3 linked regions of the Anolis sagrei genome follow. The protein of the gene in region 1 interacts with the protein of each later gene in a pairwise test. Links are inferred from orthologs where the notes say so. Each region holds a gene or a part of one and is shown in the gene's direction. Other genes may lie near its edges. The genes, in order: EPM2A, PPP1R3C and PPP1R3D.

Region 1 (10,984 bases):
CTTTGATCCCTGGTATCTCTACACTCAGAAAAAATGTAATCCCCAAAGGTAGTGTGTGCTTCTTTCAGCAGCGTGTGGGCATTTGCATTTCTCTGAAAAATGAGAGAGAACTGTAATTTGAAATAACTAAGAAGATTCATTCCAAATGTACCAAGTTATTACACTAATGTTTTGCCACTAAATACCTTCCCCATGTAAACCTTATAAACATTCATATTTTGTGGCTGAACAGAAGTCAGCAGAAATATAGCTTGACTGCTTAGAAAAGACTTTGCAGCTGAAGAAGTTCTACACTAGATGGCTCTAGCTTCAAACAAAAACCAGTTGCACCTGGGGTGAGCAATTGGTTTGTTTTTCTACCATATTAAGAATTTTGAACACTTCTTTCTCAACACTACATGCACTTTTACTTTTAAATCTAGATACTGTGTTTTTTAAAAGTTAATCCAGAGCTATTAAAATAATGCTGTAAAAATTCTGTTCAGTATATTCTTACGTACAGGAAAACAACATAAATCTACAGTATCAGTATTTTATACTGCTATGCAGGGTTTGTTAGGTTTTTTATTTTAAAAAAACACAGTATTTTTCAATACTTGACCTTTTTCCTGTACTATATCTTGCCTTTGGGTCTCTCACGATAATTTTTCCATTTGCATTGCCTTTCTTTCATATTCACAGCAATTTCTTTCTCTAACCAATACACTACCTTGTTTCAATGTTTTCAGTGAATGCTATTTTGCAACATCGGTTAATCATAATAAAACACATTTGCCATTTTTATTTAGTATATGTTTTTCCTTGTCAGTAAGCAAAATCAGACTTGGGAATCATTATTCCCTGATGTTATGGGTCTGCAACTCCCAGTGTTCTTCACCATTGGTACTGCTGTGGTATTGCAGTTCAACATGATCTGAAGGGGTAACATTATTCTTGCCCTGGTCTAAGTGATCTGGGTTTTTCTTGATTCTGCTTAGTAAGCTGAAATATGTTTACAGCAGTGAATGAATGTCACTATGGTTTTAGAACCTATAGCAAGATTTTATCTTTCTTCAGTGTACTTCACATGAACAATTTTGACACTTGAAGACTAACTTATATTTTGGGGGTATTATTTGTTGGTAATTTGAACTGTTTAACATTTTTGTCTGCCTTTTAGTATTATGAAATCATCTTCTGGTAGCTATCACAGTCGACCTTCCACATTCGTGGGTTTAACTTTTACAAATTTGATTTTTTGTGAATTTGATTAGAATAATCTCTCAAGGAATCACTAGGTCCTCCAGTGCGACTATATAGTCATTTTCTAGCAGAGTCATGCTGGAGAACTAAGATTCCTAGAGCAGTGTATCCTCAGGTAAAAAAAAATAGCATTTGTTTTTATTTACGTTTTTTCACTTTAACAGTGCTATTCTGCCCCTACCCCCAGCAAATGTGGAGGGCTAACTGTACATCTATCCACCATTCTGTCTGAATATCTAAAAGTTAATTCTCATACATACCTTCAGTTGTGGCAGTGTTTCTAGAAATTACTATCAACCGTTTAGAAAGCATTTTATATCTAATGAATTCTTAGATGACAGAAAAAGACCTTTCTCCTCAGGATTTTGGGAAAGACATTACCAGTAAGTGAAGAGAAAAATACATAGATGAAGGAGAATATTCACTACAAAAGATGCCTGTAATTGTTTTATACACCTCTTTTTTGATAACTAATTTTGTAGATCAGAGCCATACTTTAGTAACATACCTTGATTTCAGTCAGATTTTTGAAAACACAACCTTGTTATATTCTTGCAGATAAGCTTGTTAAATATAGGCAAGACAGTGGTTTTTTTCACTGGTTTCCCAATTGAACACACAAGAATATTCACCAGTGATTCCTCTTTATCCTGGAAAGAGGGACTAGCAGGATATCATAGCAATCTCTTTTAAAACCATTGTGGTTCAACATCTTGATAACAATGTAATTGACAGGATAAACAACATAATTATTTGCAGATGACACCAAACTAGGAGGGGTAGCCAACACTCTGGAGGATACAGTCTAAGGATTCAAAATGACCGTAACAGATTGAAAAGTTCAGCCAAAATGAATGAATAATTTCAACAGGGAAGAAGTATCACTTGACGCACACAAGATATTCAACAAAGCTGCAAAATGCACTTATTCTGCCTTGAAAGTTAAGGGAAGAAAAACAAACTGGCATTTTGTTGGATGCATGCATTAATGAGTTGATGCATAGGATAACACCTTTGAACAGCACTGACAAGGTAAAAATACCTTCTTGAGTAAGTCCCTGTCAGCTTCACACATCTGAATCCTGTAGTTTTTGCCCATTTTTGTCACCATTGGATCACCTCTGTCATGTTGGATGGGGACTAGTGGCAAATACCCACTTTTGTTGTCATGCCAGATTAGGGCATTGTACAGATCCTGTTTCTAAACCAATCTTGTGTTACTTTGTTAATGTGTAAAGTACTTTACTCCTTACAAAATGAAATATCTTTTACTATAGAATTGCCCTGTATTTGACTCCATCCATCTAGTTTTCAATCTTGACCATTTTAGTGATGACCAGCAATAAAAGCATCCCCACAACTTGATACTATCACTATTCTGCATCATTTTGGGGATCAAGTGTTCTTAGGTCAACATGCACTCTGCTTTGTCCCACAATGTTCTGCAGCAAGACTAAAAATTATGATCCAATCTGACTAGTAACCTATGTGTGTGTTTATTGCAGCAATTGATTTCTTACTACTCTTTCATAAAGGCCAGCATTGTGGAGCATATGGTGATATGCCCCCCCCCCCAAAGCTGAAACCTGTAGCCCCTTCAGAGTAATCATTAGCATCTTTATTGTTTCTGATTAATGTCCTCACCTTGATCATTGAATTTTGACAGGAGCTATCCCTAGGTAGTCATAGTTGAACTAGATTATTTCCATTTTATGGCCAGTCTGGAGGATGTTGAAACTTTGTGTGTTGAGGGAGGTGGCTTTTGCACGACTTTATCCCACACTTATTTGGAGAGCCCCATGGGCTTTGTGACACCACTTGTTTATAATACTATCTGCTTTCTGTCAAGCCGAGGCCTTCCAGAAAACAGGTGCATTTAATCTGAGGCCATGGAATGACGCTGCAGGCAGGAGATTGCACCATAGCTTGTTTAGGCATATCACAGTGAAAACATGACACCTTCATAGTGTTGAGTGTCTTGCCTACATCAAACTGTAATGCCAATTGAATCCACAACAAATTTTGAAAAAGCCCAATATGATTGATTCTGCAAGATGGTGTAGCGCATTGTATATCACTGCAAGGCACCAGCTCTGGATCTTTTTGTTGAACTTTTTTCCTCACCATGTGAACGTTGTTCATACATTCTGACTATTATTTCTTCGTAACATGCCCCTTTCCCAAAAGTGGGACTTGATCCAACTCTTTACACTCCTTTACAACCAGCACTTTATGAAGTTAAATATGGAGAAACAATAAGTTTTCATTTCTGTTCCAAGCTGTCTTGGGGCAGCTTGGAACAAAATTAAAGCAAACAAAATTGAAATGTCTGTGATTGGTAAGTGGAAGTTAGATCTGGTAGTTATTGTGCAAAATATTTCATTTCGTTGTCAGGTGACAAGTGAAAGGAAACTGTCTATCACAACTGGGAAATGACCAAAGGGACTCTTCAACTATATAGGAAAGGCCCTGTTTTTTAAGCTTTAATGGGATCTCTTTCCTTTTTGAGAAAAGGGTAGAGCAGCCCGTTACTAGGATCTACAAAAGAGCAGTTGCACTCCCAAAAAGGCAGCTGTTACGAACAGAAGGCAGGACTCCAAAGGAATCTGGTTTGGGTTGCTGTGAGTTTTCTGGACTATATGGCCATGTTCTAGAAGCATTATCTCCTGAAGTTGCCCACATCTATGGCAAGCATCCTCAGAGGTTGGGTCTGTTGGAAACAAGGCAAGTGGGGTTTATATATCTGTGGAATGTCTACGTGGGAGAAAGAACTCTTGTCTGCTTGAGGCAAGTGTGAATGTTGCAAATGGCTACCTTAATTAGCATTTAATGACCTTGTAGCTTCAAAGGCTGGCTGGTTGCTGCCTGGAGGAATCCTTTGTTGGGAGCAGTTAGCTGGCCCTGATTTATTCTTGCCTGGAATTCCCCTGCTTTTTGGGTGTTGCTCTTTATTTACTGTCCTGATTTTATTGTTTTTTAAACATTTGGTAGCCAGATTTTGTTCGTTTTCATGGTTTATTTATTTACTATATTGATTTACTATATTTATATACCTTCCCTCTCAGCCCACAGGTGACTATCCTTTCTGTTCAAATTGTCCACATGCTTGTGGATTTCAGTGGCTTCTCTGTGTAGTCTGACATGGTGGTTGTTAGAGTGGTCCAGCATTTCTCTGTTATCAAAGAATATGCTGTGTCCAGGTTGGTTCATCAGGTGCTCTGCTATGGCTGACTACTGTGAATGAGTCTCCAGTGCCTTTATGTTCCTTGAATCATGTTTGGGCAGTGCTGCGTTTGGTGGTCCCTATGTTGCTGCAAGGCCATTAAATGCTAATCAAGGTGGCCATTTGCAACATTCACACCTGCCTCAAGCAGACAAGAGTTCTTTCTCCCACCCTGCACATTCCACAGATATATAAACTTCACTTGCCTAGTCTCCAACAGACCTCTGAGGATGCCTGCCACAGATGTGGGTGAAACATCAGGGATGAATGCTTACGGAACATGACTATACAGCTTGGAAAGCTCACAGTAACTTAGTGATCCCGGCCATGAAAGCCTTCGACAACACTTTGAATCTGGATTGATTTGCCCTGGATCTTTTTGACAATCTAAGGGCCCTTCCACACACCCCAGTTCAAAGCAGATATTCTGGGATATAGGGCTGTGTGGAATGGCCCATAGACACCTTATGCAGTACTGAGGGCCCTTTCACACGGTCCTATAACCCAGAACATTAAGGCAGAAAATCCCACAGTATCTGCTTTGGACTGAGTTATCTGAGTCCACACGAGGAGCCCCCGGTGGCACAGTGGATTAAACCCCTGTGCCAGCAGGACTTAAGACCGACAGGATGCAGGTTGGAATCCCGGGAGAGGTGGATGAGCTCCCTCTATCAGCTCCAGCTCCTCATACGGGGACATGAGAGAAGCCTCCCACAAGGATGATAAAAACATCAAATCATCCGGGCGTCCCCTGGGCAATGTCCTTACAGACGGCCAATTCTCTCACAGCAGAAGCGACCTGCAATTTCTCAAGTCGCTCCTGACACAACAAAAACAATAAACGCTTGGATAATGTGAGTTTCCAGCCTTGATATTCTGGGATATAGGGCTGTATGGAAGGGGCCCTAAGAGCAGCTGTTCCTTCGGGTTTTTTGTTCTTCGGTTCCATAAAACGTTTCAAGGATTCTATGAAGGGTGATAGTATGATAGCTGGGTCCGGAAGCTCCAAGCGTTATGCACATTCCGCAACAGCGATTGTGAATAAGGAAAGGGAGGGCAGAAAGATAGGAAGGGGGGGGGGAATAATAAAGATGATTAAAAAAAATTTTAAAAAGGAAAGGGAGGGCAGAAAGATAGAAAGGAAGGGGGGGTTAGGATAAGGTTTAGGGTTAGGGTAAGGTAGGGTAAGCTTTAGGGTCTGGGCTTAGGCTTAGAGGTAGGGTAAGGTTTAGGGTTCGGGTAAGGGTTTTACCATTAAAGAACTCTTATATTCCTTCTATAAGATTATGCTGTGCAAACAGCACTCCCAAAGGAGCGAAGCGGAGACAGCATAACGCTTCTAGCTTCCGGACCCAGCTATTTATTTATTTATTTACATTTATATGCCGCTCTTCTCACCCTGAAGAGGACTCCGAGCGGCTTACAAGATATATATACATACAATATATTATATTATTGGCATAGTTCAATATCAGTATTAAATATTGCTATATTGTACTATACCATTATATTGTAATATTAGTAATATTACATGTAATATAAATATATAATAATATATCAGTATTATATTGCATTACATTATAATATAACTATTGTATGTATATACAATATATTATATTACATTATACTGTATTCTTAGAATAGCACAGGAGACAAGGTGAAACTGTCTCCTGTCCCCCTCTCTCTCCACTCTGGCCCAGAGCAGCAGTTGGTGCTGGGGAGAGGGGTCCCCAATTGATACTATATACTGGCCTATGCATTTTGACTAACCTTGTACTATTACCCTATGAAGTCCCAGACAGGGATCACGCGAAACTTGGTAATCGCTGACTCAGCGCTTCCCACATTCTAGTGCTTTGGACTTCCACTCCCAGAAGCCTCGGCTGATTGGAACAATGGCAAAGGATCCTGGGAGCTGAAGTCGCAAAAAACAAAAAAACAAAACCAAACTTGGGAGGCTCCCTTCGCATGCGCAGGTCACGTGATCCCTCCCTATCGCTACCAGTCCCTATTAGGACATGGCTGGCAATTGCTCCCCTGCCTTTCGCCCCTAGCGGCCGTGAGGGGAAGCTCAGCCGTGCTCTCTCTCCCTCCCCAACTCCCTAGTTTCTAATAGCGGCCCGGCTCCCGCCGAGATGCTATTCCGTTTCGGGGTGATCGTGCCCGCCCGGCTGGCCGACGGCGGGACGGCGCTCTGCGTGTCGGGTTCCCGCCCGGAGCTGGGCCAGTGGGAGCCCAAGCAAGCCCTGGCCATGAAGCCCGCGCGGCCGCTGGCGCCCCTGCCGGCCCAGGAACCCGTCCTGTGGCTGGCCGAGGTGGCGCTGCCCGAGGAGGAGGAGGCCGGAACCACCTTCTGGTACAAGTTCCTCAGGCGGCGCGAGACGGGGGACACCATCTGGGAAGGTAACGGACGGCCCCCGCGCACGCACCCCTGCCTGATTGCTTGCCTGCGTGCTCGCTCGCCGGCGTGTTCTGCGCGTGCGCCAGAGGAGGGGGCGTGGCCAAGTTGGCTAGATAATCAAAGTTGAGTATCGCTCATGCAGACATCCTAAAGCAGGCCTGGGTCAACTTGGGCCCTCCTTCCAGGTGTTTTGGACTTCAGTTTTCACCATTCCTAACAGCCTCAGGCCCTTTCCCTTTCCTTTTTGGAGCGATTCTGTGGCCAGCGACAGAATTACGCTTATGGCTCTTGCTGAACCGGCTGTTCATAGCAGCTATAGATAATCTTGGGCCCTCCAGGTGTTTTGGATTTCAACTCCCACCATTTCTAACAGCCTCAGGTCGCTTAAGCGGCTTAGAGGGGGAAGGAAAGGGCCTGAGGCTGTTAGGAATGGTGGGAGTTGAAGTCCAAAACACCAGGAGGGCCCAAGATTACCCATACCTATTATTCACAGTCGGTTCAGCTGGGGATTGGCTTTGGTTTGACTTACATATAAGCCAACTTTAAAATCTTTGCCATAGACACTGAGAACTGGGAAGCCCTGGCCCTTGAGCGCTCCAGCTGGAGGTCAGCTGTGACCAGCAGTGCTGCAGAATTTGAAGAGGCACAAATGGAGGGTGGAAGGGAGAAATGTGCCAGGAGGAAGGCACGTCAAGCCAACCCTGACCGAGACCGCCTTCCACCTGGAAAACAATGCCCTCACTGTGGGAGAAGATGCAGGTCAAGAATAGGGCTCCACAGCCACCTACGGATCCACAAGAATACTGATCATGGAGGACTATCCTACTCATCCAACGAGGGATCACCTAAGTAAAGTCAGCTGGGGACCCCTCAATATACCAACTGCCGCTCTGGGTCAAAGTGAAGAGAGAGGGGGCCAGGGGACAGTTCCACCTTGTCTCCTATGCTATGCTAATAATATAATGTAATGTAATATATTGTATATACATATAATATTTATAATATAATGTAATGCAATATAATACTAATATGATATTATATTAATATATTTATATTACGTGTAATATAACTAATAATATTACAGCATAATGGTATCGTACAATATAGTAATATTTAATACTGATATTATACTATGCTAATAATATAATATATTGTATGTATATATATCGTGTAAGCCGCTCTGTGTCCCCATCGGGGTGAGAAGGGCAGCATATAAATGTCGTAAATAAATAAATACATACATAAAAAGTCCAAAATACTTGGAGGGAGGCCCCAAGTTGGCCCAGGCCTATTCTATAGTGTTGATGCACCCACAAAATCATTCATTTGGGTAGACTGGATAGAGTTTCATTTTGGGATGGCTCAGTGTACACAAACTTTGTTTTATGCGCAAAGTTATTTAAAAATGGAATAAAATTACTGGCAGGATATGTGCATAAAGTGTACATGAAATATAAATAAAATTTAATGATTAGATTTGTGGGCAGTTTCCAAGATATAGGTCAGCTTCTTGTGGGATGGGGTGGTGAGCAGGGAGGTATAAAAAGAAGGGCTGAAATTCTATGGAGAGAGAGATGGGGAGTGGGGGGGGGGGAGGAGAGAAGGGGTCTACGTTGTTAATTGCAGCAATAATATGTTTAATGCTTATGCCTATGTTTGACATTTTTATAGTTTTAATGATTTTAATTTACAGTTATATGTTATTGATTTAGATATGTGATATTATCTCTCTCTCTATATATATATATGAGGCATTGAATTTGCCATTTATTATGTTGTAAACCACTTTGAGTCCCCCCAGAGGTGAGAAAAGTGGTATAGAAATGCAGATAATAATAATAATAATAATAATAATAATAATAATAATAATAATAATAATAATAATTGCAATATATATGTTCCAAATTCATGTATTTATTTGTATTTACATGTATATATATCATATCCCCCGACACTTTTTCAGCACTTTTAACCCTGTACCCCACTTCAGCCGGCTCAGTTTTTAATAATGTCCTGTTGTATTGTTATTGCTGTTGTTTTTCTGCTTTAACTGTTTTATTTGCTATATATTGTATTGTTGTATTGTGTTGTGTTGGGCTCTGGCCTGTTGTAAGCCGCATCGAATCCCTTGGGAGATGCTAGCGGGGTACAAATAAAGTTTAATAATAATAATTATATATATATATATATATATATATATATATCTCCCTCTGGTGGCACAGTGGATAGAACTGCTCAACTTGCTGACCGAAATGTTGACGGTTCAAATCCAGGAAGCGGGGTGAGCTCCTGCTGTTAGCCCCAGCTTCTGCCAACCCAGCAGTTGGCAACATGCAAGCGTAAGTAGATCAATAGGTACCGCTTCAGCAGGAAGGAAACGGCACTCCATGCAACCATGCTGGCCACATGACCTTGGAGGTGTCTACAGGCAATGCCAGCTCTTTGGCTTAGGAATGGAGGTGAGCACCACTCCCCAGAGTCAGACACAACTAGACTTAGTGTCAGGGAAAACCTTTACCTTTTATTTATTATGTACTTTGTAGTGGGTCTTTATTAAGTCACTAATAAAAATGCAGAGTTTCTTTTTCTTTCCTCTGACCTCTTCCTCCAGGCCACTTCTTGTGTCTTTTAAGATACTACAAATGTTTTGGACCGCTGAATGGATCTATTTAGGAAACTCCCTTGGGAATTTCTCCTGCTCTGCTTGGTGACCTTCCAAACCTCGGTGGTTTTATTTTCTTTGACATCTTGTTTTGTCTTGACCTGCATCAATATTTGGATATCTTTGGGTGGACCCACTTATCAGCTCTTCTAACCTGAAGGTTTAGGAAATATGTTTTCCCGCTGAAATTGTTTAGAAATTGAATAGGTGCAATAGCTTATGCACATTATGCTGAACAAATTAGACAAGTGGGATCTGCTCCCTTAAACCTATGTCCAGTATAGAAGACAGGAAATCATTCACTTCTGGGCCCAGAGCACAGTTCCTGTCATGTCAGCTTCTAGCAAGTAAAATTTATCTCTGCATAGTAACTTCCATTGGCTTATTTATGAGGGCAAAGTCTTCTGAATATGTATCTCTCCAGGCCATTGCAATCAGGCATGCCTCAGTTAATCAAACCTCTGACAAAGAAGCTCCTTTTTGCAAAGTCTTTTTATACCCCTACTCTCCCTATTTCCCCCCTTGCCCTCAAGGTTTCATCTCTTCCATTTGGAAGATGGTGGACTGGAGAAACACAGGCTTTTGATACCATGTTGTCAGAGGGCAGTGGTGTCAAACTTGTAACCCTTCACTTCCCAGAATTCCTGGCCATTGGGCAGCTGGCTAGGGCTTTGGGGAGTTGGATGCCAAAACATCTGCACACCACAAGTTTAACACCTCTGCACAGGGTATTTGTAGTAGTAATAAACAATCCAATAAAGCTGAATATTATGGAAGCAACCTGATTCCATAATATTGTAGAGGTATGTGCTTGTCTGCAACAAGTAGGGTAAGCAACAGCCGCTTTGGAACTGAGCCTGTGTGGACAGCAAAACAAAGTAAAGGGAAAAGCAAGTTAGTCTTCCCCATCGTCTACTCCCAACATGTTAAAGAAGCACTGATCTATAAAATGGAAATCATGAAAAGCAAATGATCCCTGAATAAAATTTGGAGGAAATCTTTAAGTGGAAAGTTCAAAATATTTTTGTTTACTTACACAAGTGTTACTAATCTGTAGTTCCAGTTCAGAAATGCATATTGTTAGCTTTGGATACAAAATTTATGAATGCTCTGTGGAGTAGGAACCCATTTTTTATTTCCTATGTTATTTTTCACTTTGGTCCCATTTATTGTTGTTCTTGGTAATGAAGGAATGGCCAGGAATGTAACTCTTACATTAACAGAAATATGATTGTATTGCCACTATTTCTCATCATGCCTTCAAGATCTCATCAGCAAAGTGGACTTTCTCTGAGAGATCACTCAGGCTCCATTTACACTGCCATATAATCCAGTTTCTGAATACACATTAACTGCATTGAACTTGATTATATGGCAGCATAGACTTCTATAATCCAGTTCAAAGCAGTTAACGTGCACTCTGAAACTGGATTATATGGCAGTGTGTATCCAACCT
Region 2 (10,652 bases), on another chromosome or scaffold:
CTCTGACTGTCTGTCTATATGTCCTGTGTGTCTATGGCATTGAATGTTTGCCATGTATGTGTACATTGTAATCTGCCCGGAGTCCCCTGCGGGGTGAGAAGGGTGGAATATAAATACTGTAAATCAATAATAATCTATCTATCTATCTATCTATCTATCTATCTATCTATCTATGTATGTATATAATAAAAGTCAGTGTTTGTATGCAGAGGGAGGGAGGGCGGTGTATGTGGCAGCTTTCTGATTGGCTGCCACTTTCACAAGCCACTGTGACCGCTACGAATGGTGAACCTGGACTAAACTTGGCACACATAACCCCCATGACCCACTTTACATCCCGGTGCGGTTTGGGGGATTTGGACCACTGATTATGGGATTTGTAGTACTTTCAAATGCTTTGGTTCCCACAGACCACTATGGCCCCCAACAAAGACCGATGAAGACCAAACTTGGCACACACAGCCCCCAGGACCAATTCTACATCCTACTGCAGTTTGGATGATGGTGGACCATGGATGATGGGACTTGAAGTACCTCCACTCACTTCCGGAGACCACTGCGATCCTCATTCAATGACTGACCAAGACCAAACTTGCCACTCATAACCCCCTGGCTGCCTTTACATCCTGGTGAGGTTTGGGGGAGGGCAGACAATGGATGATGGGATTTGTAGTGCTTTCAAACCCTTCAGATCCCACAAACCACTGCGGCCCCCAGTAAAGACTGATAAAGACCAAACTTGGTACACAGAATCCCCATGACCCACTCTACATCCTACTGCAGTTTGGAGGAGGATGGCCCTCAGAGGACCTCACAACCTCTGAGGATGCCTGCCATAGATGCAGGCGAAACATCAGGAGAGAATGCTTCTAGAACATGGCCATATAGGCCAAAAAACTTACAACCCATGTTACATAATGTTACAGGCCTGTACGGTCAACCCCTGTACCCACAGAACTCATACCCATATGTTTCACCTACCCACATCCAATAAAATGTGTCTTCTTTAGGAATTGTCTGGGTCCTCCAACATGACTTTACGGCCACATGTGACAAAATCCATTCATTTTCAAGGGAGAAATTTGTCAAGAGGAAGACCCATCAAGCCAACCCTTGTGACCATCTTTCATCTTGAAATCTCTGTCCTCATTGCAAAAGACCATGCAGATTCAGAATAGATCTTCATAGTCAATTACAAACCCACCACCAAGACTACCCTTGGAAGACAATCATATTCAGCCATGAGTGATAGCCTATATTGCTATTAACTTCAATTTGCCATTTCTGTTCAGGAATGTACACACCATGATCATTGGAGAGGTGTCATTCTATATTCTCTATCATCTACTGTATATTTTACTAAATAATTTCTCCTGGCTCAACTCCCCCAAAACTGATGGTAGTGTCATTCATTCAATTCAATTGCTGGCAGAAGGGACCTCCTTCTCCCACGCAGCTGATGCCCAGAAAAGTAACTGTGTGGGGAAGTCATGACTGTGGCAATGGTGTCATAAAAGTGACTCAGTAGTGATAGTGAGTATGGAATACCTACCTATACTAACTGTTCTGCCTTCATGATCACTACTTAGTCATGAATCACAAGAAGAAGGAGTCCTATTCTGCTGATGTTTGGAGCACAGGTAAATAACATTTCTATCAGGTTTAGCACAGTCCGGCCAGGAGAGGTTATGTTTATTTAACTAAGTAGTTGATAGAGAATACCGACTAATGTCCTCTGTGTAGCACTGAGATATACAGTCCAATCTTCCTAGCCTTGTTTGTTATGAACTCCATTTATTTGCTTGCAGTCCACATACATATGCCCAAGAGGGCAATTTACAAGGATGAAAAGAAAGGGGTAATCTTGAAACCTAATGTGTTTATGCTGCTTTTCACATATAATCCTTTTGGAGTATCTTCTAATGAGATTATTTGTTCATATCTTCCAAGCTGCAGCCCTCCATTGATTTATAAACCCAGTGAATATAATGAGATTGACTTCTGAGTGCACATAACTAACTCTACTGTTGGTCATGCTAAATAAACTCTTCTGCATACTGTCTTAATAGATTCAATCAGGCACATCCAATGCTTTTTTGTATTTAAATTGGTTCATTACACTGATGTTAATCATTCTAAAGCAAGCATGGGCAGACTTCGGTCCTCCAGGTGTTTGGACTTCAACTATCACAATTCCTAACAGGCGGGCTGTTAAGAATTGTGGGAGTTGAAGTCCAAAACACCTTGAAGGTCAAAGTTTGCCCATGCCTGCTCTAAAGTGATTCATGTTCAACTTTCCCAGATTTGAAATCAAAACATGTATACAGAAAAAAACAACAAACTAATCAGTTTGCTCTGGCCTCCACATTAAAATCTCATTCTCTCTCTCTCTCTCTCTCAATCTGCCTACGTGCCAACCTGCCTCTCTCTCTCTCTCTCTCTGTCCATTAGGCTTGTCTGATCAAAAAAAAAAAAGAAGTTCAAAACTCGTTTCGGATGTAGGGGGCGCTGGTGGTTCGATTCTAAAGTCAATTCCGATTTTCACAGAAAAAAATGTTCAAAACTTTTTGAAACTTCTGAGACTTCCAAATCCTTTCATTAATGGTTTGAAAGTGTTATTTCCTATTTCGTTGTATTGTCTTTACTTTGAAAGTAGTTGTTTTACTCCAGGAGCGGGGAAAAGCAAGCAGAGTAAATCCTTTCCTTCTCTGGTTTAAAACTGGCTTCTCTGGCTTGAGCAGAGGCCAGGAACCAGAAGCAGGGAAAAGCAAGTGGAGTAAATTCCTACCTTCTCTGGTTTAAAACTGGCTTCTCTGGCTTGACCCGAGGCCAGGGACCAGAAGCGGGGAAAAGCAAGCGGAGTAAATTCTTTCCTCCTCTGGTTTAAAACTGGCTTCTCTGGCTTGACCCGAGGCCAGGAAATTCCTTCCTTCTCTGGTTTAAAACTGGCTTCTCTGGCTTGACCTGAGGCCAGGGACCAGAAGTGGGGAAAAGAAAGCAGAGTAAATTCTTTTCTTCTCTGGTTTAAAACTGGCTTTCTGGCTTGAGCCGAGGCTAGGGAATTCCTGCCTTTTCTGGTTTAAAACGGGCTTCTCTGGCTTGAGCCGAGGCCAGGGACCAGAAACAGGGAAAAAGCAAACAGAGGAAATTCCTACCTTCTCTGGTTTAAAACTGGCTTCTCTGGCTTGAGCCGAGGCTAGGGACCAGGAGTGGGGAAAAGGAAGCGGTGTAAATTCTTTCTTCTCTGGTTTAAAACTGGTTTCTCTGGCTTGAGCTGAAACCAGGAAATTCCTTCCTTCTCTGGTTCAAAACTGGCTTCTCTGGCTTGAGCCTAGGCCTGGGACCAGAAGCAGGGGGAAAGGTGAATCATTCCCGACTCACTTCATGAGTCATAACAAAAATGGCAGAGAAAGCTTTGGAAGGGCAAAGGGACTTCCGGTTTTCTTAAAAATTTCAAAATCACTTTGAAAAGGCAATTTTTTAAAATTTATTTCTAATTACGAAGATTCCGACGGTACCTAACCATGCCTACTATCCACCCATCCATCTGCCTGTATCTATCTGCCTCTATCTATCTATCTATCTATCTATCTATCTATCTATCTATCTGCCTCTATCTAATTAGGCATGTGCAAAAAACCCCACAAAAACAAACGGAAAACCTCGTACATTGGACCTCCTGCCAAAAGTAGAGTCCATCAGTCACATACTTTTCAAGGTGAAGTTCCAGCACTTAAGGCTGCAGGAAAAGGCCAAATACTGCAGACGTAGCAGTTTGAAAAGCACCACGAGCAATAAAGTTAAAATTAGAAATCTATTTATCTATCTCTATTTACTGCTCTCTTTTTTGCACCTACTTTGTCTAAGGATGAAAGGACTTTGTAGGTTTTCTTCTGGCTGGGTTGCTGCACAACAGGCAGGGATATGCCCAGGGAGCTCTTTGCTAGCAGTACAGTGGAATAGATGAGCTTCCTCTGTGGAATTTCAGCCCATAACATTTCCTTCCCAAGAAAAAGATGTTCTCAAATAAGGAAAACAATGCAACTGGTTTTGTTTTCTTAAAAAAACTGGAAAGCTCTGGAGAGATGGAAAGTCTATTCATAAGAACCAAAAGGAAACATCTGGAACATGTTTTGCTGAGTCCTGGGCCGGGGAGTCAGAAACAAGGAAGGGCAAAGACCCTTTTCTCCTTTAACCACAGGGTTGCTTGGAGCAATCTTGCAGACTCAGGACTCCTCTGGAGGAAGTGTCTCAAGAATGATCCAGAGCCTGGAAATGTTACCTTTGAGTCAAACTCAGAGATGTGAATACTCTAACTGGGGCCTTATCACACTAGAGAGAAAAATCCACTTAAAATCTGAATTCTGCCTCCTGCAGAATTCTGGGGTTTGTAATTTAGGGAGGAGCCTTTAACAGTCTCACTAAACTACAAACCCGATTTGCAGATTTTATGTAGATTTTTTCTCCAGTGTGATGAAAAATGCAATTTCCAGTATCCCCAGTCACTATGGTCTGCTGGGGATGTCAGATGCTGCAGTCCCAAACCCAACATGTCTGGTCATTATGGTTTGCTGGGGATGTTCTGGTCACATGTTCTTCTGGGGATGTTGGAAGCTGTAGTTTCAAATGCCTGCTGGGGATCTTGGGGGTGTTGTCCAAGCCTCCCAGGATGCCCACTCACCCAGGTCTCTTGGAGATCTTGGGAACTGTAATCCCAATTTCCAGGATACCCAATCACTACAGTGTGCTGAGGATGTTGGGAGCTGCAATCCCAATTACCAGCATGCCCAGTCACCATGGTCTGCTGGGGATGCTGGGAGCAGCACCCCGAATTCCAGTATGCACAATCACCATGGTCTGTTGGAGATGTTGGGAGCTCCAATTTCCAGTATGACCACTCATCATGGTCTGCTGGGGATTCTGGGAGCTGCAATCCCAATTTCCAGTATGAACGGTCGTCATGGTCTGCTGGGAATGATGGTACCTGCAATCCCAATTACCAGCATGCCCAGTCACCATGGTCTGCTGGGGATGCTGAGGCTACAACTCCAAATTCCAATATGCACAGTCACCATGGTCTTCTGGAGATGTTGGGAGTTGCAATCCCAAATTCCAGTATGCATGGTCAGCATGGTCTGCTGGGGAAGTTGGGAGTTGTAACCCCACATTCCAGTATGCTCAGTCACCATGGTCTGCTGGAGATGTTGGGAGCTGCAATCCCAATTACCAGCATGCCCAGTCACCATGGTCTGCTGGGGATGCTGGGGGCTGCAACCCCAAATTCCAATATGCACGGTCACCATGGTCTGCTGGAGATGTTGGGAGCTGCAATCCCAATTTCCAGTATGACCATGCACCATGGTCTGCTGGGGATGCTGGGAGCTGCAACCCCAAATTCCAGTATTCATAGTCACCATGGACTGCTGGAGAAGTTGGGACCTGCAACCCCAAATTCCAGTATTCACGGTCACCAGGGTCTACTGGGGATTTTGGGAGTTGCAATCCCAATTTCCAGTATGACCATTCACCATGGCCTGCTGGGGATGTTGGGAGCTACAACCCCAAATTCCGGTATGTACAATCACCATAGTCTGCTGGGGATGTTGGAAGCTGCAATCCCAATTACCAGGATGCCCACTCACTATGGTCTGCTGAGGATGCTGGAGATTGCAGTCCCAAATTCCAATATGCACAGTCACCATGGCCTACTGGGAATGTTGGGAGTCACAATCCCAAACTCCCAGTTTCCCAGTCACAGTGTCCTTTCGTTTTCCCAGTGTTTCAATGGCCTGCTGGGGGATGTTGCAGTCCCAAAGTCCCAGCATCCCCAGCACTAAAGACCTTGTGAAACTCCCATGCCCAGGATCCCTTAGCATGAAGCCATAACAGTGCAACTTTGCTGCCAGACTGCAGTCCATTCTACGGAGTGTCCCGGATGTTCTGGGCAGCCCTGAGTGCCATTCAATGGGAGGCCTGGGAAAGCCCGGCTGCCCGGCAGGGGCTGACCTTGAGCCGCTCGAGCTGGGCTCCCACCGCCTCCGGCCCAAAGGATCACGTTTCTTCAGCTCGGCGCTGATTGGCCGGCGGGAGCCTCGTGGGCCTCGGGATTGGCTGCCCCGCCGCTTTCACGTGAAGAAGGCAGCGCCGGGGCTGATAATAGCAGGCGGAGCGCGCGCCGGCCGTGGTCAGTCTGGCAGAGCGCAGCCCGACACGCGTCTTCTCGCGCCTTTGAACGTGTGAACGGCCGCTTCCTCCGCGTTCTGGATGCCCCTCCGCCTGGGTTTGGTGGGCGCTCCTTTAAGCAGTTAGAGCAGGTGAGCCTGACTTGGGTGGGGAAGGGAAAGCTTGGCATGGAAAGAAGCAATGCGGGTTGATACCGGATCTAAACTGCCCTGTTTTTCCACACACAGAACATCAAGGCAGACAATCCCAATCTGCTTTGAATAGGGTTATATGAGTCCACACTGCCATATATCCCACTTCAAAGCAGATAATGTGGATTATTTATTTATCTATGTGGAAAGGGGTCTTAATACTTATGGGATCATTGGGAGCTGCAGTTTTGCAAGGTCTCTAGCTTTCTCTGCCACCCTGCGAATCCTAGCGTTCCATAGCACACATTAAAGTGGTGTCTAAACAGCATTAATTCTGCAGTGTAGATGCACCCTAGCAATCACCTGTAGTTCTGACTAAGCATTTTTTAGGAAGGCTGCAGGGTTTGAGGGCTTTCCAATGCTGTATCGAAATAGTATTTTAAATTATATTAATGATATAACACAATTTACCCCATAATAGGGCTAACTTTGATGTAGCCACACAGTAGAATTGTAGCAGTTTGAATCCACTCTTAACTTCCAAGGCTCAGTGGTATGGAATTTCAGGAACAATAGCTTATTGTGGCATCAGAGCTCTGGGGTCCCTTCCAGACAGGCCCTATATACCAGGATCTGATCCCAGGTTTTCTTTTTATCCCAGATTATCTCTCAGTGTGGACTCATATAATCCAGTTTTAAAGCCACAAACCTGAGATCAGATCCTAGGATATAGGGCCCTTCCACACCACTAAATAAAATCCCACATTTTCTGCTTTGAACTGGGTTATATGACAGTGTGGACTCAGATAACCCAGTTCAAAGCAGATACTGTGGGATTTTCTGCCTTGAGATTCGGGGTTATATGGCTGTGTGGGATAGAGAAAGCTAAGTATCTCACACAACTAGATATCCAATATAATACTACTACTAATAATATGATAATATAATTATATTACATGTAATATTACTAATAATATTACAATATAATGGTATAGTACAATATAGTAATATATAATACTGACTAGCCGTCCCCTGCCACGCGTAGCTATGGCCCAGTCTGTGTATGTTTCGTGTGTGTTTATGTGTGTGTATATATTTGTGTATATGTGTATATATGTGTGTTTGCATATATAGACAGATAGATAGATCTAGATAGATAGATAGATAGATAGATCGGTGTATATGTTTGTGTATATATGTGTGTATACATGTGTATATATTTGTGTATTTCTGTTTATATGTGTATATGCATATTGAGTATATGTGTGTGCTTGTGAATAATATGTGTGTATGTATGTCTATATGTGTATGTGTGCATGTGTATATGTATGTGTATATTTGTGTGTGCTTGTGTATATATATGTGTGTGTATGTATGTATGTGTGCATGTATATATGTATGAGTGTATGTGTATATATTTAGTTGATTTGGGGGGGGGGGTTAAGTCTGTTCTGCTGGGTTTTTTGTGTGTTTTAGGGGTGATGGACACTCATTGGCCTGATAGGTGTATTGTGTCCAAATTTGGTGTCAATTCATCCAGTGGTTTTTGAGTTATTTTAATCCCACAAACGAACATTACATTTTTATTTATATAGATATTGTTCTATGCTAATAATAATACATATCGTATGTATATATATATATATACATCGTAAGCCTCTCTGAGTCCGCTTCGGGGTGAGAAGGGTGGCGTATAAATGTCATAAATAAATAATAAATATCCCATAATTCTATAACATTAAGTCTTGACTGTTATCAGGATTAGATTCAATCTATTACACTACATAACACAATTTTCATTTCTAGGTTATAAATATCCTTTCCTAATTGGTTCTGTCTTTAAAACATGGGAAAAATATTAAACTGCACAAGCTTTGTTTGTGCTGGACATCCTGCAGCACGTTTTGCTCTAGTTTTTCTCATCCAAGCCTCAACTAATTCAACATAGTTTGTGATAGACACAGAAATGAAGTTTCAGGAGTGGGACAACTACTTTCGAAGTCAGGACCACACAATTAAACAGGAAATAACACTTTCAAACCAGGAACAGGTTTTTTTTCCAAAATTTTGTTACATAGTTCAATTTTTTCATGACTTTTTAAGAAAGTACAGTCATGGCTATTTTGGTGCAGTGACATATTTATTGTGACTCTATTGTTTTGCAAACACATTATTTCAGGAATCTTAAATGTGGTTCCTGAATCCCATCAATCAAAAAGGGGAGAGGTAGAAGGACTGGATCTGTCATTTCATTTTTCTCTGCGGCTTCTCGTAACTGTGTCAGCAATGGAATTTCTAATATCCCGGCAGTGTGTCTTGCAGACGGATCTGGTTGAATGTTCCTATAAATGGCCAGGTTTAAGTAACTTTGGGCCCTTGCACACAGTCCTATATCTCAGAATATTAAGGCAGGAAATCCCACATTATCTGAGTGTGGACTCACATAACCCAGTTCAAAGCAGATATTGTGGGATTTCCTTCCTTTATATTCTGGGATATAGGGTTGAGGGGGAAGGGCCCTTGATCCACAAGTTTCTAGAAGATTCTAAGTTTTCACATTCATTGGACCTGACATTCGAGCTGATCCATGGCTGAAACAGTGGACCTTTCCACACAGTCATATAACCCAGAATATCAAGGCAGATAAATCACAATATCTGCTTTGAAATGGGTTATCTGAGACCCCTTCCACACAGTTTATTTATTTATTTACAGTATTTATATTCAGCCCTTCTCATCCTGCAGGGGACTTAGGGCGGATTACAATGCACATGTACATGGCAAACATTCAATGCCAATTAGACATACAACATATATAGACAGACACAGAGGCAATTTAACATTCCAGCTTTTCCGGCTTCATGAGGTTTTCCAGCACCTCCCCCTGGCCACAAGGGGAGCTGCCACTTTACTGTCCATTTGTGATACCAAGTCCTTTGATGAAGTTTTTTTTGTCGTGTCAGGAGCGACTTGAGAAACTGCAAGTCACTTCTGGTGTGAGAGAATTGGCCATCTGCAAGGACGTTGCCCAGGGGACGCCCGGATGATTTGATGTTTTATCATCCTTGTGGGAGGCTTCTTTCATGTCCCCGCATGAGGAGCTAGAACTGATAGGTGGAGCTCATCCACCTCTCCCCGGATTCGAACCTGTGACCTGTCGGTCTTCAGTCCTGCTGGCATAGGGATTTATCCCACTCCCCCACCGGGGGCTCAAGTACTTCTTCATTCTTATGCGCTGCTGGAAGGTTTTATGGTGTTGTAAATTAGTTAAGTTAGCCTCCCCACATAAAGCAGTACCTAAATTTCCTACTTGACAGAATGCAACTGTCTTTCGGATGCATAGGTCGACAGCAAGCTAGACTGGAAGCTCACTCTGACCTGAGCTAGCTTCAAACTCATGACCTCTCGGTCAATAGTGATTTAATGCAGCTGGCTATCAGCAAGCTGTGCCACAGCCCGGTCCCATAAAACCCCACATTTTCTGCTTTGAGGTGGGTTATATGGCAGTGTGAGCTCAGATATCCTAGTCCAAAGCAGATATTGTGGGATTTTCTGCCTTGATATTCTGATTTATATAGCTGTGTGGAAGGGCCCTGAGTCCACACTATCATATAATCCAGTTCAATGTGGATTTTATACAGCTGTATGGAAGGGACCAGTGTCTCTTACCAAGTTATGAGAAGGATTCCTAAATTATTACAGTCATAAAAAGTAACTACCTATCTTAACCTCTATGTAACTTTTAAAATGTCATTGGAAACCTTAGTAGGCAATGAATGTCCTTGGGGGAAGAAAAGGATACTCAACTGCTTACTTTCTGATTATAAGATACAAACTTTTGAGTTCTCCAAAAGTCTTAATCGTGCTATTTCTTTACCGTGTCAGAAGCAAATTGAGAATACAATTATAATGTTTATCATTGTGCTAAATGGAATAAAAAAATCCAACATATGGCTTTAAAAAAATGACCTCTCCCCAATACCTTAAATTATGTGCCTTTTACTTGGCTGACAAGTTCTCCAGAACTTGAAAGTTTACATATTTGTAGCATTTGGTTGGGAGGAATAGTTGTTGCTCAACTCTGTATTTCAGATTAAATTAATGTGCATGCAATAAAATCATATCAGCACTGTGCAAATATTATGCGTAAAAGAACAACAAAGATGGGGCTCATGGGTGTGATTAAATTTCCATTTATTTCTTAGGGTAGGATCTGCAAGTTTCCTTATTTTCCAAAGTTTATATATTTATTGCAATCAGCACTTGCAATCAATATGAGTGAATGCAGGTATCCTAAACATTTGTCCCTCTGGGATTTATGATAAACAGATACAAGAC
Region 3 (10,977 bases), on another chromosome or scaffold:
GTCCCATTATAAGAGGCTTCCTCTTCCTCCTCCTCCTCCTCCTCCTTTGGGGTTTCCCTCCTTTCCTTTGGGCATCGGTTTAAGCGAGATTGCAAAGCAGCTCGACGAAAAAGCGCAGCAGCGGTTCACCTCTCCATCCTAGCGTTGCTGCAGTAAACAAACCCCACGCACGCCTCTCCCCCCCCCCCCCCCACGCCTGACTTCGCCTCCTCTGCCGATGGAAGGGCATCAGAAGACCCTGCTCCACACGCAGGAAGGCAGGCAGGTGGGCAGCCCTCCTTCTGGAGCTGGCCCTCGAGGCAGGGCGCATTGTTTATCCTCAGCCGGGCAAAGGCATCCTCGCCGCCCCGAGGGACCCTCCTCCCTCTCCAAACCCTGGGCGCGGAGTGGATTGGCCAGCCGCCTCGCCAAGGAGGGCGGGCCCACGACAGCAGCAGCAGCAGCACATTAGCCACACTGGCCAAGGAATGCAAGCTGTTGTGGCTCCATGCTATGGAATCCTGGGACTTGTCGTTTATCAAAGACCATTCTGAACCCCACCAACGATTGTATTGAACCCAACTTAGCACTCAGAACTCCCATGACCAACAGAAAATACTGGAAGGGGTTTGGTGGGCACTGACGTTGAGTTTTGGAGTTGGAGTTCACCTACATCCAGAGAGCACTGTGGACTCAGACAATGATGGATCAGGACCAAACTTGGCACAAATACTCAATTTGTGAACACTGGTGGAGTTTGGGGAAAATAGATCTTGACATTTGGGAGTTGTAGTTGCTGGGATTGATAGTTCACCTACAATCAAAGAGCATTCTGAACCCCACCGATGGGAGAATTTGACTAAGGTTATTGTAGGTTTTTCCGGGCTATATGGCCATGTTCTAGAGGCATTTTCTCCTGACGTTTCGCCTGCATCTATGGCAAGCATCCTCAGAGGTGGTGAGGTCTGTTGGAACTAGGGGAAAGGGTTTATATATCTGTGGAATGACAAAGGACTCTTGTCTGCTGGAGCTAGGTGTGAATGTTTCAACTGACCACCTTGATTAGCATGTAATGGCCTGACAGTGCCTGGAGCAAACTTTTGTTGAGAGGTGATTAGATGTCTTTGTTTGTTTCCTCTCTGTTGTTGTGCTGTTGTAATTTTGTTGTTGTTCATTCGTTCAGTCGTCTCCGACTCTTCGTGACCTCATGGACCAGCCCACGCCAGAGCTCCCTGTCGGCCATCACCAGCCCCAGCTCCTTCAAGGTCAGTCCAGTCACTTCAAGGATGCCATCCATCCATCTTGCCCTTGGTTGGCCCCTCTTCCTTTTCCCTTCCACTTTCCCCAGCATAATTGTCTTCTCTAGGCTTTGCTGTCTCCTCATGATGTGGCCAAAGTGCTTCAACTATGTCTCTAGTCTCCTTCCCTCCAATGAGCAGTTGGGCTTTATTTCCTGGAGGATGGACTGGTTGGATCTTCTCGCAGTCCAAGGCACTCTCAGAACTTTCCTCCAACACCACAGTTCAAAAGCATCTATCTTCCTTCGCTCAGCCTTCCCTAAGGAGACATGATAGCCATGTATAAATATGTGAGGGGAAATCACAGGGAGGAGGGAGCAAGCTTGTTTTCTGCTTCCCTGGAGACTAGGACACAGAACAATGGCTTCAAACTACAAGAGAGGAGATTCCATCTGAACATGAGGAAGAACTTCCTGACTGTGAGAGCCATTCAGCAGTGGAACTCTCTGCCCTAGAGTGTAGTGGAGGCTCCTTCTTTGGAAGCTTTTAAACAGAGGCTGGATGGCCATCTGTCAGAGGTGCTTTGAAGGCAATTTTCCTGCTTCTTGGCAGGGGGTTGGACTGGATGGCTCATGAGGTCTCTTGATTCTATGTTGTGGTGACACCCAATCATAAAACTGTTTTCGTTGCTGCTTCATAACTGTAGTGTTGCTACTGTTATGAATTGTAATGCAAATATCCAATATGCAGGATGTATTTCCATTCACTGGACCAAATTTGGCACAAAGACCTGATACGCACAAATTTGAATACTGGTGGGGTTGGGGGATTGATTTTGTCATTTGGGAATTGTAGTTGCTGGGATTTATTGTTCATCTACAATCAAAGACCATTCTGAACTCCACCCACGATTGTACTGAACCCAACTTAGCACTCAGAACTCCCGTGACCAACAGAAAATACTGGAATGGGTTTGGTGGGCACTGAGGTTGAGTTTTGGAGTTGTAGTTCACCTACATCCAGAGAGCACTGTGGACTCAAGACAATGATGGATCAGGACCAAGCTTGGCACAAATACTCAATATGCCCAAATGTGAACACTGGTGGAGTTTGGGAAAAACAGATTTTGACATTTGGGAGTTGTAGTTGCTGGGATTTATAGTTCACCTACAAAGAGCATTCTGAACCCCACCAACGGAAGAATTGGACTAAGTTTCTCACACAGAACTCCCATGACCAACAGAAAATACTGTGTTTTCTGATGGTCTTTGGTGACCCCTCTGACACCCCCTTGTGACCCCCCCCCCCAGGGATCCCGACCCCCAGGTTGAGAAATACTGGTGTAGATGCATCCAAAACTATATATCCAAGGAATCCATGACAGTCCAAACTGAATTCATTCTGCAGTGTAAATGTACGCCCAGAGACTAAATTTTGTGGCTCTTTGGCAGAGAATACGATAGACCCTGTAAAACAACAGCTCCCAGGATTCCAAATTACACTGTTTAGCCGGCATTACACCACCTGACATCCGCCGGGAAGTAGCAGCCAATAGTGAAAGGACCAAGGCAGAGACATCTCCAGCTCATCCCTTGTTTGGGTATCAGCCAGCATGCCAACGACTTAAATCAAGAAATAGTTTTCTAAGATCTATAGAGCCACTCTCTGGAACACCTCAGCAAGCGAGAGTCCAAAAGTGGCAGGCTCAAACCCAGAACCTCAATCAATGGCTGATACCAAATGAGAGACTCCCCCCTGGGCACACAGAAAACTGGGCGACTCGGAAGGTGCTGAACAGACTGCACTCTGGCACCACGAGATGCAGAGCCAACCTCAAGAAATGGGGCTACAAAGTGGAATCCTCGACATGCGAGTGTGGAGAAGAGCAAACCACAGACCACCTGCTGCAATGCAACCTGAGCCCTGCTACATGCACGATGGAGGACCTTCTTGAGGCAACACCAGAGGCACTCCAAGTGGCCAGATACTGGTCAAAGGACATTTAATCAACTACCAAGCTTGCAAACTCTGTTTCGTCTGTTTGTTAAAAATTTGTTTAAAATGTAATACAATTGTCTGGTTGATACTGACATGATAAATAAATAAAAATAGGATTCCATTGAATCATAGCATTGACAAACTCTGAGGATGAGAGCCTGTGAATGTCATTGCTTTCAGTGATATACGGGAATTACAATATATAAGTGATTCTAAGGACATCACACTAGAGCATCGATCCACTTTAAATCCAGTTTCTGCCTCCTGCAGAATTCTGGGACTTGTAGTTTAGGGAGGGGCCTTTAAACTGCTCTGCCAGATACTACAAACCCCAGAATTCTGCAGGAGGCAGAAACCAGTTTTAAAGTGGATCTATGCTCTAGTGTGATGAGGCTGTAACATGCACGCGTGCACACACACAAAATTATTAAGGATTCCCTTTGGTCTGGTCTAGCAGGAGGCGCACCATACAGAATCCTTAGTCAGTTTGTGTGTTAATGTTGCTCACATATTGTAATTCCCATAGGTAAAGGTAGTCCCCTGACATTAAGTCCAATCATGTCTGACTCTGGGGTGTGGTGCTCATCTCCATTTCTAAGCCGAAGAGCCAGTGTTGTCCGTAGACACCTCCAAGGTCATGTGGCCAGCATGACTGCATGGAGCGCCGTTACCTTCCCGCCGGAGCGGTACCTATTGATCTACTCACATTTGCATGTTTTCGAACTGCTAGGTTGGCAGAAGCTAGGGCTGACAGCGGAAGCTCACGCTGCTCCCCGGAATCGAACCTGCGACCTTTCGATCAACAAGCTCCAGAGGAGGGCGACTAGAATGATGGAGGGTCTGGAGAACAAGCCCTATGAGGAGCGGCTTAAGGAGCTGGGCATGTTTAGCCTGAAGAAGAGAAGGCTGAGAGGGGATATGATAGCCATGTATAAATATGTGAGAGGAAGCCACAGGGAGGAGGGAGCAAGCTTGTTTTCTGCTTCCCTGGAGACTAGGACGCGGAACAATGGCTTCAAACTACAAGAGAGGAGATTCCATCTGAACATGAGGAAGAACTTCCTGACTGTGAGAGCCGTTCAGCAGTGGAACTCTCTGCCCCAGAGTGTGGTGGAGGCTCCTTCTTTGGAGGCTTTTAAGCAGAGGCTGGATGGCCATCTGTCAGGGGTGATTTGAATGCAATATTCCTGCTTCTTGGCAGGGGGTTGGACTGGATGGCCCATGAGGTCTCTTCCAACTCTTTGATTCTATGGTTCTATAAGCTCAGCAGCTCAGCGTTTTAACCCACTGCGCCACCGGGGGCTCCCTATATTCCCATATATCACTGAAAATAATCTCCCCTCGTCATGGCACATCTACACGGTGGAATAAACATAGTTTGACACCACTTTAACTGCTATGGCTCAATGCTATGGAATCCCAAAGTTATAGTTTGGCGCGGCACCAGCACTCTTTGGCAGAAAAAGCTAAAGACCTTGAAAAACTATAACACTATGAATGTGAGATTTCCAAATCGCCCTGGAATGAATAGCCTTGCTCAGTTCTAGCAGACCCAAGGCCATGGCTTCCTTGATATAAGTCTACATCCTGAACTGACCTGAAGGTTGGCGGTTCAAATTCGTGAGACGAAGTGAGCTCCTGTCTGTCAGCTCCAGCTTCCCATGCGGGGAAATGAGAGAAGCCTCAAACATAACAAGAAACAATGAAAATCTTCTGTTTCATTGTTTCTTGTTATTTTTGAAATGCGACTTTGTTGACAGATTGTTATCAAAAAATAAGCAGATACATGTAACTATTTTAAACGTAACTAACTAGTTACTTCCAAGCTCTGCCCATTAGGCTCCTCATTTCGTCTTTTGTAAAATGAGGTTTGGACACACTTTCATGGCCATTTATCCAGTTAAATCCATTCTAACTGGGTTTCGTTTTCTCTCTTTTCTCTCTCCATTCGTGAGTTTCCTTCGCAGCTGCTATTCCTTTCCTCCTGCCATTCTCTCCCTCCTCCCATTCCCTCCTTTTCGTATTTAAATCAAGTTCCCCAGGAAACGGGAAGAAGGAAGGGCAACTCGGACTTCGGGTGAGTCTTGTGCGCATGCGTCGATTGCTGGCGCAGGCGCAGACCGAACCAAGGCCGGGGAGGATCCCCGGAGGAACCGAGAGGGGGAGGTGGCGACCCGTGACGTCATAGAGGGCTTTCCCCCACGTCCTCGGCTGGGGAAGGGGCTCTGGAGCGTCACACGCTTGCACCCCTTGCAGTCAGGTGGAGGGAGGAGCCGCAGCAACCCCCGGCGCCTGCATCCCTTGCCCGTCTGCACGCTTCCGGCTGAAAAGGGGGCGTGAAGCAGGAGTCTGCCTCAAGGAGAAGACCCTGCAGTCCTCGCTGGGGGCCTTGGGAAGAGTCTGAGCCTTGCTTGCTGCATGTGGGGCCCGGACGCTCCCAACGTGGACTCAGCATCTAGCCATTGCCATAGCTTGGGTCATCCCCATCCATCGGCTTCCTCCACCACTGCTTCCATCAGCAGCTCAGCCCAACCTGATCGCCTCCAGGATTCTTCCATCCAAAACGAAGGTCTTCATACTCCTTCCAGCTTCTCTAAAAGCCTCCAGGCTCCCTCCAACCAAGGCAAAGGTTTTCAGGCTCCTTCCAGCTTCTCCAACAACCTCCAGGCTTCTTCCATCCAAGGAGAAAGTCTTCAGACTCCTCCCAGCATCTCCAACAGCCTCCAGGCTTCTTCCATCCAAGGAGAAGGTCTTCAGACTCCATCCAGCTTCTCCAACAGCCTCCAGGCTCCCTCCATCCAAGGCAAAGGTTTTCAGGCTCCATCCAGCTTCTCCAACAACCTCCAGGCTTCTTCCATCCAAGGAGAAAGTCTTCAGACTCCTCCCAGCATCTCCAACAGCCTCCAGGCTTCTTCCATCCAAGGAGAAGGTCTTCAGACTCCATCCAGCTTCTCCAACAGCCTCCAGGCTCCCTCCATCCAAGGCAAAGGTTTTCAGGCTCCTTCCAGCTTCTCCAACAACCTCCAGGCTTCTTCCATCCAAGGAGAAAGTCTTCAGACTCCTCGCAGCATCTCCAACAGCCTCCAGGAAGAAGGTCTTCAAGCGCCTGCCATCTTCTCAAATAGCCTTCAGGTTTCTTCCATCCAAGGCGAAGAAGGTCTTCAAGCTCCATCGAGCTTCTTCAACAGCCCCCAGCCTTCCCCCATCTTCTCTAATAGCCTTCAGACACCCCACAGCTTCTCCAACATTCTCCAGCCTCTTTCCAGCATCTCCAATAGCCTGGACTCCCTCTCTGCCCAATCTAATAGCCTTCAAGTACCTTCCAGCCCTGGCAGTCTTCTGGATTCCTCCAGCATTCAGAGTGACAGTCTGGATTCCCTCAGAGAGCACTGTCAAAGCCTTGCATCCGTTGACACTCATTGTACCCGCCATCCACTTGACAGCCTGGATTCTGTCTGTCTCCGGCACAGCAACTTCTGCTCCATCTTCAGCCTCGGAGACAGTCTGGAGACATCCAGCATCCAACTGGACAGTCTTCAGTCAGCAAATAATTTGTATGACAGCACCCAAGCTTCCAGCATCCAGTCAGACAGTTTGGACTCTCCCTGCAGTCTCTGTGATAGTCTTGAGACATCTGTTGCTCAACATCGTTGCTCTGGGTCCTACAGTGTCTGACTTGGGTGGGTCGCAAAATTATCTAGGGCTACCTGTCCCAATACCTTAAACTGCCCTGTGTTGAAACAGTCTCTTGGCCTTGCCAACTTGTGCCTCCTATCTCACTGGCCCTGGGTCTTATCTGCCATGTCTCAACGAAAATTGTTCTCAGGAGCAGCAGTGTCTGCTCAACCTGTTTGCCTATCTGAGCAAGTGGCTTTGAGGCCCCCACGAAGGAACCCCAGCTACCTCTCTGGCCTTTATCAGAACATGTTGCAAGAAGAAGCCCAGCGTGAGGAGCAGAAGAGATACCCACCAGTTCACAGCAGCATCAGCCTCCTGAATATTTCTGCCAGTGAAAAGCTGCAAGACAGACATCTGCAGAGCCCTGTGGTTGCAAGCTGTGACCCACACCTTAGGCCCATCATGCGTCGTCGAGCCAGGTCCTTGCCAAGCTCTCCGGAGAGGAGGAGAAGCATGACAGCACCCTGCCGTGTTCCTGGGTGTAACACTGGCAGAAACCGAGTGAGGTTTGCAGATGCATTAGGCTTGGAGCTGGCTGAAGTGAAAGTCTTCCAAGCTGGGGAAGACCCATCCATCCCTCTGCATGTTCTCTCTCGCCTCTCCATCAATTCCGATCTTTGTTGCAGCAGGCTAGACCTGGAGTTCACCATGCAGTGCCTGGTGCCTGATTTCAGGCAACCTGCTGACTGCGAGGAGTTCCTCAGTCGCCTTCAGCAGCAGAAAGTGTGCCTTGAACGAGTGACCAGCTCAGATTTGGGTCTGAATGGCACCATCAGAGTCATCAACCTTGCATTTGAAAAGCAGGTGGCTGTGCGCTATACCTTTAACCACTGGAGGGGCCAGCATGAAGTTGCTGCTCGTTGGCATAGCAGTCTTCCTGGCAAGGATGGGCAGGATCAAGTGGATGTCTTTACCTTCTTCCTCCCTCTTCCCCCTTTCCTCCTCCAGCTCAGCTCTGTGGTTGAGTTTGCAGTGTTTTTCCGAGTCAGTGGGCAGGAGTATTGGGATAATAACCAAGGCAAAAACTATAGCCTCACTTGTAGGAATCACCCACTTAAAATGCCCAGGGAATGTGAGGAGAGCTGGATCCACTTTATTTAAGTAAAAGAAGAAATACAGAAGAGCTACAGCCTTCTTGCTGTTGCTAGTCCTGTGTTTTCCTTTGGCACTTCTCTTCTTCCTGATACACCAAAGAAGGCCTTCAGAGTGGCAAAGATCCTTCAGAATGAATTAATATTTATATACCAGTGATCTCCACAAAATGAGTTCAGAAAAGATGGTTTTTCTTTAGAGATAAAGGGCCATAATCTTCAGCACTGATTCATAGCCAAGTATTGACTTAACACCTAGATTTAATCAATATGTATTTTTTTGTATGCGTCTATGTGTTTTATGTATGAAAGCATGTGTAAACAACAGCAGAAAGGACACTATCAGGGAAAACAAGCCAATTTCTGTTGTTTTGATTAATCTTTGTGATAGATGAGACTATATATAGAGTTTGGATATTTAAAATGTAGTTATTTTTGCAATCATTGAAGCTGTAGATTTGCACTTCGGTCAATGCACTTTTGCACTTTGTTTTTATTTGATATAATTTTAATAGGTAAAGTATGGGCGGTGTGATTTTGCTCCTTAGCAGGAAAAAACCTCCAGTGCTGCATCATTTTTAGGCAGTGGCAAAATATTGCAGGGCCAGGTTGTAAAAAGTGATGGTGATGAGTATTATAATGGTCTAAGTGGAAATATATTTGCAGACACTGCATTTTATAAAGCAGTGGTTCTCAACCTGTGGGTCCCCAGGTGTTTTGGCCTACAACTTCCAGAAATCCCAGCCAGTTTACCAGCTGTAAGGATTTCTGGGAGTTGAAGGTGTTATAAAGCATACTGGCAGACTAGTGCCCTATTCATGAAGCATTCAGGTCCTCACAAATGGAAAAATTACATGTGAAACATTTTGTTGCTCAGGGTAGAGCAACTATGCAGTTTACACTTGAAGGAAAAGTTCCTTTCCTTGCTGGTTACAAGCAAAGCACACTTATAGATGAAAAATAACACACTAAGTTGTTTACCTGAGTAAAATAAAGTTTTGCTCTTTTGTACTGTATTCCATTTGAGGTTATCAGAATAGGTTATGTGAATCACTGTCTCCAGCTGTGTATTACTCACCTAGATTGCTGTAAATTGAAATAAAGGAGTGAGCCTTTTATGCACTGATATAATCACCAAGAGTTGAGGAGCTCATGCTTGATTTCAAAAAAGAAAATATTATCTGAGATGCTTGAGTAAAAGGTGGAGGATATAGGCACTGTTACTAATGAACTATAACTAAATGGTTTTCTGAGGGTAGCTGTTTGATTCTTTTGCAGCATAACAACTAAATATCATGTAACCTGTTAAGAACTAATAATTTAAGTTGACATAAGCATTCATGGACTACAGCCCACAAAAGCTTTTGCCAGTCTAAACATGTTTGTCCTTAAATGAGGTGGGGGAGGAGGACTCTCTTTTGTGGAATGTGTGATTCGAGATATGAATTGTGCTTAAGTTGCAAGAAATCTTGGAATCCAATGCCATCCTGTAATTATGAAAATAGGAGAAAGGAGATGATACACACTTATGAAGATGAATTTATTACTTGGAAGTTCAGTCTTTGATTGGGTTGAAACCCTTGCTTTATCTGTATATATTTTACAAATGGATATATTAGGGATTATTAAGAATGGATTTATATGTACATGTGTTGTGTGTCTATGATTGTTTTTATATATGTGTGCCAAAATTATTTCCTTCCCAGCTTTCATTAAAACACTGATATGCACAAATGAAAATAAGAACTCTTATAACTGATAACTTGTAAAACAATACATGGAATGCAGGGTTCTGCAGGCCTAGAAGTTGCGCTGATACATACATATTAGTTGAAGAATGTATTTGATAAATAGGGTTTCTGTATGATACCTCTTCTCACTCTTCAGATCTATCTATCTATCTATCTATCTATCTATCTATCTATCTATCTATCTATCTAAAAGGACTGCTGTGAAGATATGATTCATTGAAAATATAAAGAACTAACATTAATTTAGCTGGCTAAACATAATCAGCTAGAAATTATCAAATTGAATATTAGTGAATTATATTTATATCCAAAATATTTCCTTCTCCTTGTTTTGCAACACATTTTCTCTAAGAAGCTGCTTTATCCTGGTAGCTCAGTAGTGTTTACATGCAGTAGTGTTTAGGTTTTTAGGCAGGATGTTTTTTTCTCCTTTTTCTCCTGTATGCAAACATGCCCTGTACCAATGGCTGCACTTCCATGTTAACGTGTCCCTACACAATGTGAGAGTGGTTAAAGCACATAGTTTCAAATTTTCTGTTTTTGTGGAACAGCATTAGGCCTTGAGAAACTTGAAGGTGGCTATATTGCAGCTCAATCCAGCCATTCCTATTCTGTGTCTCATGGCAACTGGATCCCAAGGACCCAGAGTAGTATTCCAGCTATGCATTTGCTAAAGAGGGTTTTTTTTTTTTTGATGAGCTGCCTTCTCAAGGGGCCGTTCTTCAGATTTTGGCAGTCCTTTGAAGTGCCTGGCCAACATATGTGAAAGACAGAGTAATGGAACATCTATTTTCCTTACTGGTGACTAAGCCAAGAATTCTGATTTATTGCTTATCAGTTACATGATAGGGAAGCTCAAAACAGATCTCATGGGGTTTTCTTTATTATTTCAGTAGAAATACTGCAGCCACACATAGTGGGAAGAGTTATAAAACCGTAGAAGTAAAAAATAAGTTCATGCTTGGGAAGAAAATTCCAAATAGGGAGGGGAAAACCTAAAGCAGCATGGCCTTGGAAGGGAAAAAGGAAAGGGATGAGAGTGTGAAATGGAGTATCATGAAAAAAAAATGCTTAGCTGACTGATCACATATATTCCAACATTGTGTAGCAGGCATCATTTGGACAAATTCAGCCTAGAGTAGACCAATTAACCCCTTTTCATTTATTTGTGTGATGACTGTCAATTGATTGAATGAATCTACTCTAGTTATGTGTAAGCAGCAGGATATTACTCTGTGCGTG

Evidence for each region.
Region 2: the proteins of EPM2A (region 1) and PPP1R3C interact in binary tests that used the Homo sapiens proteins (3 or more experiments, as listed by UniProt). The link is inferred for Anolis sagrei from reciprocal best matches to the Homo sapiens genes EPM2A and PPP1R3C.
Region 3: the proteins of EPM2A (region 1) and PPP1R3D interact in a two-hybrid assay, tested with the Homo sapiens proteins (2 studies listed by BioGRID, with this or other methods). The link is inferred for Anolis sagrei from reciprocal best matches to the Homo sapiens genes EPM2A and PPP1R3D.

Annotation. Positions count from the first base shown.
Region 1 is NC_090021.1:75,309,800-75,320,783, forward strand, and holds the start of EPM2A (laforin), read left to right. Parts: upstream 1-6,436; 5' UTR 6,437-6,600; coding exon 6,601-6,868; intron 6,869-10,984. UniProt on the Homo sapiens protein: Plays an important role in preventing glycogen hyperphosphorylation and the formation of insoluble aggregates, via its activity as glycogen phosphatase, and by promoting the ubiquitination of proteins involved in glycogen metabolism via its interaction with the E3 ubiquitin ligase NHLRC1/malin.
Region 2 is NC_090023.1:185,196,593-185,207,244, reverse strand, and holds the start of PPP1R3C (protein phosphatase 1 regulatory subunit 3C), read left to right. Parts: upstream 1-6,151; 5' UTR 6,152-6,314; intron 6,315-10,652.
Region 3 is NC_090024.1:229,835,602-229,846,578, reverse strand, and holds the start of PPP1R3D (protein phosphatase 1 regulatory subunit 3D), read left to right. Parts: upstream 1-7,016; coding exon 7,017-7,994; 3' UTR 7,995-10,977. Other genes in the region: protein FAM217B, read right to left, coding at 1-7. UniProt on the Homo sapiens protein: Seems to act as a glycogen-targeting subunit for PP1. PP1 is essential for cell division, and participates in the regulation of glycogen metabolism, muscle contractility and protein synthesis.